2 linked regions of the Neodiprion lecontei genome follow. The protein of the gene in region 2 purifies or fractionates together with the protein of the main gene of each other region. This does not show direct contact. Links are inferred from orthologs where the notes say so. Each region holds a gene or a part of one and is shown on either strand. Other genes may lie near its edges.

Region 1 (6,683 bases), on a different chromosome or scaffold from region 2:
CAGTGTTTCACCATGTAAACGTGCCGATTGAAATAAGGTCTTCCATTATAAGAAAAGGATGCATGCAAGTATCGGATCTACATAAAATGAATAAATAAATATCTAAAAAACGTAATTACCTGCTCACAATAAAACGATATGACCATCGTTTCTCCCGGAATGTTAAAGAAATTTTAAACCACATAATTAACGTGTAACGTGTAAAAATGTATTATATATCGTAAATTAATTATTACCTACCATTGTAGATAGTGGGAATTAATAATAAATTTGTATGGCATTTAAATGTTGCGTTTATATAAATATCTACATGTATATCAATTAGCTGCAACCGTTCGAAAAGCACACGGAAGTCATATGATGCTGCCATGTCGATGCCTCGCAAATTCAAAAAGAAAAAAAAAAAAAAAACTACCAGTAAGTAGATCAGCCCACCTGCAGTTCGGAATTTATTCTTGAGTTTTAACCAAATTTCATCCAAAACTGTAGTTACCATCGATATTAGTTGACTTTTAAAATCTTGTGATAAATATATACACAGACTATACATATACATGTAAGTATAAATATTCGAATAGTTTTATTTAACAGTTATATCACATTACATCTTTCCTGTACAGGGTTACTGCAGTTGTTTATCATGAATGAACGATCTGCGCATGGTGTCTTATCATTATTGCATTTACTTATATATTGTAAATGATGAATTATTAAAGGGGGTCTCTAAGCAATGACAAGATTTATGGGCTGTTGCGTATCGCAATGCTGAGGTTGAGTGTTAATAGCTTATGAGTTTAAGTTGAAACTATAAATCGAAGTAGAAAAAAGAGTTATTTAATTATTTATTAAAAGAAGAGACTTCGCAAGCGACGGCCCATTCCTTGTCGGTCGTATAAAATGTTGAATTTGTTCGTAAATTGATTTATATCGTTGCATCCTTTTGTTATTATTCCAAGATACGTCACTAGACCAAAATCGTTGCATTGCTGAAAAGAACAAAAATTGTAGAATTAGAATTTAATTCACACAAGAAACAAAAATTCGATTTGCAATAAACTCTTGTGTCTTTTTTAACTGATTGCCGCGTTTCTTTATCTTAATTATTAATTTTATTTTTTCTTAGAATAATTCTTACTTACGTTATAAAAGTCTGCTCGAAAGTTTGCACTATTTAAAACAGGTAATCGATGTCCCAGTGAGCATGCAGCTCGCAATACTTCGTGGTTCCCTTTCAATTCCCCGCTTTGAACGGCTTCAACGTATCTCAAAACAAGTTTAACCCTTGAATTCAGCATCTTAATTGCACTGTGTTGTGCAGTTAAATGTTCTGCCACTAAGAAATAGATGTACTATTATGTCCAGGGATTGATTAATCTTCTTACGATATCATAAAGGTCTGTTTACACTTTAAGACCAATACAGAGGAGCGTCAATATAAGCCTTGTCGTTAGAAACCTGTTCCCCTACATTTTCCCGTCATATACGTCATCAGGTTTTCCTCACCAATGCGGTTGTAGCAGCCAGCGTGCATAGCATTGCCTTGGTGAAGAGTCACTAGGGGCCGCACTATTCTTGTAAGGACGAGGTAAGACTATAATGACGCTCCACTGTGAGTGCGAAATTATTTCTTACCCAATGAACTTTCGGCCTGATCGTTAGTGCACATTCTTGCTACATGATCGACTCCAATTCTTTCGGCTTCTTCCGTTGCTAATGTATATGTTAATGGCACAAATAGCATGGTGGCTTCGCCATTTACCAAATCGATCACAGACTCGTACATTGCAACAGATAATTGCTATGGAAAGGAAACGCTTTTTTGGTTTTTTATATTCTCCATATAAACTAAAATTGTATACAAAGAAGTATCAAACATATTGTTCACTGTGTATAGTAAAATTTATAATTAAAAATTGAGCCCCCTTTAAGAGGAATTTCTTCAAAGTGGAAGACGCGTTTTTACTACATTGACCTTACAATATGAATGGAATGATACCAAAAATATCTGAACACAGGATTTATCAATATATAGAAAAAATAGGCAAACTTCTCCAGACTGACTAAATTTAAAGCCAGCTAAAAATTTACCCAAGCACAGGTCACACTAGAAGATGCTATGGTAAAAAGCCGTGTGACCATAAAAAATACAGTTTCAATTTTCCTAACTTGCCTCAATTCTTTAGAATGAATATTTAATATTTCTGCGGACTGTTATACGTTCTCAGAACGTCATTGAAACCCTTCGTATGTCAGAATTTGGTTCAACATCAAAATATCTGTAGTTGACGTTTTGCGCGCAAATTTTTTCAGACTGTGCCACTGCTCGATATATGATTCTTGAAAGAGTAAAGATGCTAGTCAACTTATAAACAGCAGTTAAGATTTAATATCACTTTACTAAATCATAACTCTATTCCAGATTGGGTAATCACTTGTACTTTTATGTGGTTTATTTAGTTCGATCATACAATTTATGTACTGATTGATTATGATTCCAAATACTTGTAGTATCAATATATATAAATATCAGTTTTGTTGTAAAATAACCATAAGAAAAATATCGAAAATTAACGGCAAGCAAAAACAATTTCAATAAATTTTTGTTAGTGAACAATCATCATCATCTGTTATCCTATACATAATGCATAAAACCACGAAGGCTTACCGATATTGCTGTATAAGCATGTATACAGATGAGTAGAGTTAGCCCATAGGGGAAATTGAACGTTACTACATAAAAAATATATTACTTAATCCTCAATTAAATTCATACAACAAAGTGAATATTCCATATGAAAATAAAAATAATTCTATACACCAGATTTGAATTATAATTTAATATTGTAATATTAAATCTTAACCGTTACTTATAAACCGAATAGCAACCTTACTCTTTCAAGAATCATATGCACAGCAGTTGCACAGCCTTAAAAAAAACGTTGTTCATTGACTAGAGATACAATGATGTTCGACTAAATTCTGAAAACAATGGTCTTGAACAAAATTGTGAGATACAATGTTTTTGAATCAAATTATTAAATATGATGTTGTTGATGTCGTTCTGCTCAGTAGTAAAATTTATACATATGAGGTATTCTATACCAACTTAACCAACATTGGACGCTTACCATTTCTAATCTTGTTTAAACATTTTTATGGAATTGTACCAAATCCATAACAGTACCCCGAATTTTTTCAGATTTTTTGGACTGAAAGTTGCTTTACTTGCGTTTTTTAAAATCAACATGTTTTTGACCTTAATTTAGAAATCTGAAAAGATTCTCAAAAATCATGTGTCAGACATTAAAATTTTTGAGCTTAAACCCTGAGTGGGTCGACATTCCCTTCTTATTTTTTTTCGAGATTTCTTGAAGAAAACTAATTGAAAAAAAAAGAAGCAATTGTCATTCTTTTGTGAGAAATTTTCAGTCATTTGTTGGCAAAAATTTTAATATGTAACGCGTACTATTTAAGAATTCTTAAGATTTTTTTAAACTCATTAATTATTAACAATTTTTTCATTTGGAACAAAAATTTGGAATCTGAAAAAATTCTTAAAAATCCTGGGTTGTGTATAAAAATGTTTGAGCAGCGGCCCACAAAAGACTGACAATTGCATCTATTTTTTTTTTTTATTTAAGAAACTTAAAAAAGAGTAGAAGCAAATGCCAGCCTAATCCGGATCTAGGCTTAAAAATTTCGATACTTGACACAAGATGGTTGTGAATTTTTTGGCATATTTAAATTACGGCCAATGACATTTAGGTTTTCAAAAATCATAAGTAAACAAATTTACTCAGAAAAATCTGACCAAGGTCGGGATCCTGTTTTGGAGTTGGGACAATTCTATGAAAAGTTTTTGACCAAAATGACAAAAGGTGAGGTCTGGAAGTTGGTTAAGTTGGTGTGGAATATCCCATTTATATCTTTGGGTACTGTACCCTAAGAAATTTCCTGAAATACTTGAAACATTTTCCAACTGTAAAATTTCCACAGTATGTATTGTGAGATTTTACAGATTTCTGACCATTGCTGCTTTTCTGCAATGTCATAAATTTCATTATGTTTCTAGAACTTGCAGCACTATTTAGATCGTTGAATACACATTCTGTAATAATACAGTGATGGATTGGACATGTTTTGGAGCAGAAAATGTATGGAAAGAGATTGTTACATAGTAAACACTTACTTCTGTATGTTTACACCTCGGGTCTAACTTAAGTAGCACAGGACATTCGTTAATTTCGCATAGCTGTTTGTGTACCCTGATGTCTCTGTCTGTTGGGGCATCTCCTGTTGTGTACCACCCGAGAAAATCCATTTCACTAAACACCTGCTTGAACTGTTCTTCTTTCGTATTGTAGTAATCTCGATCAATGACAACATCGTCACCGATAGATGTAAACAAGAGCTCGAAAGAATTCATTATCTCTATGTTACGTCCCTTCTGTTTACCGATCAGTGCTCCGTAAACTGTAAGAATTAATAAATAATTAATACAAACACTATGCATTAGAGTGTAAATCATTCAGGTTTCAACATGCATCGTTCTCTTGTAATCGAACTTACAGAACTTTATTTGCGCATTATCGAATCATGTTAGATTAGGGTATATTCTGCCACCGTGATCATAGCACACCATAAACTGACTTCAGGGCACTGAAGTAAAAAGTTGTATTCTATTACACTCACCCAGTTGATCAGAGCCTTCCTGTGCCCTGAGCCTCGTCCAATGTTCACTAACATTCATTATGACGAGAGGATGCAAACTGATTGACACTGAGCCGACAGTCCCAGACGAGGCCATCACGCTCTTCACGTTACTTGTGACTGGGGTTGTATCCATCGCGCTAACAACGTTGCTTTCTTCTACCTCCATTTCACTAAACGACGGCTCGCTCATTTTGGTATATTTTTACGCTCAAACTAGCAAACACGACAGTTTTATCTATACTCTTTACTTACTGATGGCTGGTGGCTACAAAGGCGTAAATACTACAAAGTACCGTCTACGACAGCCTGCGGCGAGTTGTGAAACAATCGTTGGTTTAGACCGTTGGGAGTTAAGACTGGTTGAGACCCTATTGCCCTATTCTGTATTTATCTGAATAGCTAATTTCTATGGCAGCCTGTGCTACCAATTTATAACTTTTGAAGCGCCTCGAGTCAGCCTAGTTACCACCCAGGGAACTGACGTAGTAATGTGTGCGCATGCCTGAACGCGGGAAAAGTCAAACGTTTTATACTGCGTACGAAACTACCTTGTATTTAAAATCTGTCAAAGTGAAGAATGTATAATTGTAGTGGTATAAAAGAAATATATATTATGATCGCATACGAATTCTGCCATATGCGACCAGAAAAGTGGAAAGATTTATCGTTTTTCGAATAATAGAGGCAAAAAAGTTGATGATCTCGAGAGTAGAGTATAACGTAGCGTTTGCAGTCGCAGGGGTTTTCTGAAATATAAGGAACTTACCATGGTCCTTCGTTGAAGGGATAACTACAACGGCACTCACCATGAAACTAGATTTCGAACTAATTTTTTTCAGGCACACTACTATACTTTCTACTTTCAGAGATGGTTATCACGTTGCAAACAAAATTGTACATATGAATTTTTTTAGTTTTCCCATTTACTAATTAATTTTCCAGAATTTTAGAATTAACGCCGTTCATGGATATAAAGGAGTTATTAAGTCTGCAAGATTCATCTCATAATATTCTCTTACGTACATATATCCGGGTTATTTCTAATAATGAAGAATTCAATCAAGTGTTCGCTTATTAGTATTTACACGGTATAAAATAACGTATGAACTTTGGTTAAAACCCAGAAAGATCAGATACAGCTTTAACTAGAAGAAATCATTTGTATATACATATTATTCAGTGTACTATTGTTGGCAGCAAACAAGCGGTATTTTTGAAGTTTTCTATTACCTTTTACACGTAATCAGATAACAGGAAAAGTAAATGACTTCATTTTAAGAATTATGAGAGACAGTGGTTATTTATTAGAATATTTCATCTCAGTATAAAATACAAAGTAGATTCAACATTGCATTTGTATAGAAAGTTGTTCTTAACTAATCGTTTCGTATAGAAAACGAATCGATTCAATAATAATCGAAACTTTGAAAATTCAGATAATAATCGATTAATCTAACATCGTAAAGATTGATTCTTAAAAGAATCACAGCTTAGATCATCTTCAGATTGTGAAATTCCCTAGGGGTTTGACGCACTTTCTAGTATTATATTAAACCGTGTAACGTGCATATATTGTGCTAAACATGGCAAGAAATAATCATTTGCTACGTTTACGCACTGTCCCTGTACCATTAATGTGTATAACTGGTACAGTTTTTATGATTTTATTTAATAAAATAAAGTGCACCGTTTACGCAACACACAGCTTATTAAACCGTACATGAAAGTTATGCACAATAGCGTGTGTAGGGAACATGTGTAAAAGTATAAAGTCTCGTGTCGATAGGCCCGAATGCCTAGTGGCTAACTTGTGCCTTTTGATTTTAAAGTATCGAAATATACGCAAAAATATAATGTTGAAAATTGTGATATTTAGGTAATATTTAAGTACATTCAAAGCATAGTAAATAATTAAGGATCACTCGGTTCTTTACGGAATAGATTTGTTTGATTACGTATGTATCTACAAG
Region 2 (4,020 bases):
AAGGAGTTGGCTTCTCAGAATACTAATATATTTTGTTTACAATGGTTTATTTACTTTGGAAAATCATTTTTCCTGAACATACGTCGTTTTACAGTAACGGTACGTTGATGACTTCATCCTTATGTATTTTCAGTGATCGAGCATGCCAGCAAAATGGTAAAAGAAATTGTCATAGTAAGTTTTTTCATCAAGTCAAAGATTAGCGCAACAAAGGAATATGATAGCAAATGAAATTATGTGAAATCTTAAACCTATTTTTATAACTAAATTTAACGTACTTACAACAACTCGTCGAGGAGAGTTGCGAAGTTGGGCAAGTAACATGAATTAATAAACGCTGCAACAATCCCTAGTTTATTTTATAGAGCACTAAAACGTTATCAACGGATTTATCAACGACCGTGGCTAAGCGTTATGGAAAATTAAATATTTACCCTGATTCGGTTGCCACATTAAACAGACTCCGGCTGAATTAATAGATCATAAATAGTTCGTTTCGAACAATTTAAAACGTTAAGAATCGAGTGCAATTAACTCATAGTAACATCTCTCGTTAAATAAATATTCGTATAGATTGACAAAGGCGATATTATACATGTATATATCGTATTACACGTACCACATCATCGTTGTGCAAATTTCGATTATCACTGACACATTACACACTCTACGTAAACACTGTAAACATCGGTACTCTACAATATCATTATTACAGTTACTTTCTACTATCGTTTCGTTTCATCGCCGCGACAATTCCCGATGCACCGATGTCAAAGAACATATATATATTATTTTTTTCTTCTTTTTTTCGTACAGTGAAAGGTTCACCCAACCACGGTGCGACAGACTTCACTCAAAAACACGTGACTGCGCGGAATCTTGAACAGAGCTTAAGATTTGAATGTCTCTTACAGCGGATCACAATTTGATATATTATTGCATTTGTTTAATCTTATCTGTACCCTAGTTTGACCATTTATTAGATATGAACGGTTATCAATTGTTTCGAAGAAATATGTTAAAATATTAACCTATGAAAGTGAGAGAAGCGGTTACCTAACGCCATCGCGATTGGTCATTATAACTGTCTACTCTGCGAAAACAATGCAATCCTACAGATATGTGCCAATATATGATATATGTAGAAGAGTAAACATGCTGTACGTCATTTTCGTACGTTATTTTCGGCTGCTAGATTCGTTACACCTTTTTGACCTTGCTTATGGCCACGCTATTCCATGCATACGTGGACTAGCAAGACTGTCTACGCAACGCGAATTTATTACACTATTTTTTTACTCAACGTCAAAGTAACAGAGATTTCAATGGCGATGTTTAGAAGCGGAGTTCACGCTGTTAGTATTATTTATAAGTCTATGGAGCCACGCATCGCCAAAGTGTCTACGTTCACTGAACAACTTCAAATACGGATCTTGGAGTAAAAAATTTTTTATCCAATGAGGAGATGGTCGCAGTGGCGCTATTTTCGACTGAACCAATCTACCAGCTTTCAGCGTTCAGCCGTTAAACGGTGAAAATTTTTAATTATAAGCCTTCAACAAGGTATCTGGCCATTCGCGACGGAATCGCGTTGATTTTTTGCGATAAATGTGAGCAGAAAATAGCCGGCGAAAGTGATCAAGGTCAATTAATTTTCGTATTTGTGGTTAAAAAGACGTGAATTTAACTATATGGTGGAATATTCGCGAAGCGTGAATATAGCCAGGGGAGAGCACGGTCCGAAAGGCGAGTTATCCCCCTTGTCAAAAATTAGTAGGTTCCAATTTTTTAATCTTCTGTGATTTTGCTTGAATTTAAAAAGTATTTGTATGCCTCGCTATATTGTAGCCGAACTTAGAATCTAACATGATTAAATTATTTTCACTAAAACAAGCGAAAAAAGATGGCGAATCACCAAGGACAGGAACTCAGAAAAAGGCCTCAGCAGCGCAGTTAAGGATCACGAAAGGTTGCGATTTATCATTTTTTTTATCACATAACGGGATACGATTGTGAAAGAAATATTTAAAATAATCTTTCCCTTATTTTTATTTCAGATATAAACGAACTCAACCTGCCAAAAACATGCGGCACAGAATTTCCAGATCCAGATGACCTGTTGACTTTTAAACTAATAATCTGCCCTGACGAAGTACGTATTTTACCACTCAGAAATTCTCAGTTGTTTTCATCATCCTGTCGCTACTTGTTGCGTACCAAAATTTCAGTTAGTCAAGTTTCTACTGCAGCAACTTAGTAGCGATTCTTTAAGCTGTGCTAACTTCAGCGCAGATCGCTCATGCCTGTATCTCCTTCTGTTCTCTGTTCGTCGCTCGATTGACAAATGAGCCAAAGTATTCACCTCGCATTATAATTATTCTTAGGGTTTCTACAAAGGCGGAAGATTTGTGTTCAGTTTTAAGGTCGGTCCAAACTATCCACACGAACCACCTAAAGTAAAGTGCGAAACGCAGGTTTATCATCCCAACATTGACCTGGAAGGCAATGTCTGCCTGAATATTCTTAGAGAAGATTGGAAACCTGTATTGACAATAAACTCGATTGTCTACGGGCTTCAGTATCTCTTTCTGGTAAGTATTGAACACTCTGAATTTGCGTCTCTGAACTCAATGTGCTTACTTTCATGTATTTCCAAAACTTACATCTTGACAATATATTGGGCAAATATTTTAGGCTGAAAAGTATCGAACCAAAGAAATTGGATAAGTTAAAATAGTTTCAACCTTGCAACTGAAGTCGATCAAAGTATGTTTTGTTCACACAAAATCTCTCGGATAAAAACTGTTATTAACAGATTTAGTAAAGTCAGATTATTGCACATCTTATGGTACATTTGTTACATATATTATGCATGTAAATAAGTTTCCCACAAATCATCTACCGAAGATTTTTCCTTGAACTTCTCAGTCGACAAGGTTTCAATTCAGTTTCACTCGAATCAACTTCGGTTGCACCTTTTGAATCATTATTTTATTTTTATTGTCCATTGGAGCTTTTTTTTTTTTTTAACTAGATTGTACTAATGAATAAATCTTACAATTTTATTCTTATGCCTCTCGTTTGTTTATTTTTTCTTCATTTTCTCTTTACTTAGGAACCGAATCCTGAAGATCCTTTAAACAAAGATGCGGCAGAGGTGTTACAAAATAATCGAAGAGTATTCGAACAGAATGTGGTGAAAGCAATGCGAGGTGGATACGTAGGGTCATTTTATTTTGAACGGTGTCTCAAGTGATACACCGCCTCCTCACCAATGCTGTATACAATCCTGCAAAGACTCAGACTTAGAGGACAAATACCAAGAGACTGGAGAAATGGAGGAGAACACAGTGTTCTAACGGTTACCTGTGTGTCTGCTTTATACATATTTACGTTCTTCACGTCTTGCCAGGCCTCCAAACATTTAATCCATCAAGTATTTTATGCTTTTGGCTAATAAACTTACTTAAATCTTCACAATGTATAGTTCACTAAATAGAAGAAACCAAAAATTTCCTTGACAGGCAGTTTGCGTCGTTTAAATAACAGCAACTGCACAAGCTTTAAAAAGTGGGTAGATGCAATAAGGTGGAAGCTGCTGATCTTAGGTTTCGAATTTCTCAATAGCGATCAGAAGGACACCTTGAAAGCAGTGCTGGCTATTTTAGTAGCTGGAATATAAGTTTATAAGTGGTGCGAAACAACCGGTCGATGGTCGGGATGTAACGAAGACTTTGAGTTTTCAAAGAGCGGGGACTGTAAAAGTTGAGTAGAATATTTACATAGAAAAAAGGGCGAATGTACGATTGCATTAATTTTCAAAGTAGGATGTCCGAAAGGTGGACCTGTCCATCTTCTACATCGTCGATGAAATAAAATGATTAAAAACATCGCACGTTATTTTAACTATCTTTCGAAAGTGTGATTTGTACATCGAGCTAAAGTAGCGCAATTTTATGAACCATAAAAATTTACCTGAATACTTCCAAAGGAGCGACGATAGAAGTAATCAGCTCAGAC

The links. Proteins that work in one complex are often made in the same cells at the same time.
Region 1: the proteins of NEDD8-conjugating enzyme Ubc12 (region 2) and COP9 signalosome complex subunit 6 purify together in Homo sapiens (affinity purification with mass spectrometry; 3 studies listed by BioGRID and IntAct, counting the BioPlex papers as one, with this or other methods). This does not show direct contact. The link is inferred for Neodiprion lecontei from reciprocal best matches to the Homo sapiens genes UBE2M and COPS6.

What each region holds. Positions count from the first base shown.
Region 1 is NC_060261.1:28,662,091-28,668,773, reverse strand, and holds COP9 signalosome complex subunit 6, read right to left. Parts: upstream 5,118-6,683; 5' UTR 4,904-5,117; coding exon 4,693-4,903; intron 4,474-4,692; coding exon 4,190-4,473; intron 1,799-4,189; coding exon 1,633-1,798; intron 1,334-1,632; coding exon 1,140-1,333; intron 987-1,139; coding exon 846-986; 3' UTR 558-845; downstream 1-557. UniProt on the Homo sapiens protein: Component of the COP9 signalosome complex (CSN), a complex involved in various cellular and developmental processes.
Region 2 is NC_060266.1:5,034,834-5,038,853, reverse strand, and holds NEDD8-conjugating enzyme Ubc12, read left to right. Parts: upstream 1-1,726; 5' UTR 1,727-1,866; coding exon 1,867-1,969; intron 1,970-2,057; coding exon 2,058-2,152; intron 2,153-2,384; coding exon 2,385-2,591; intron 2,592-3,115; coding exon 3,116-3,256; 3' UTR 3,257-3,477; downstream 3,478-4,020.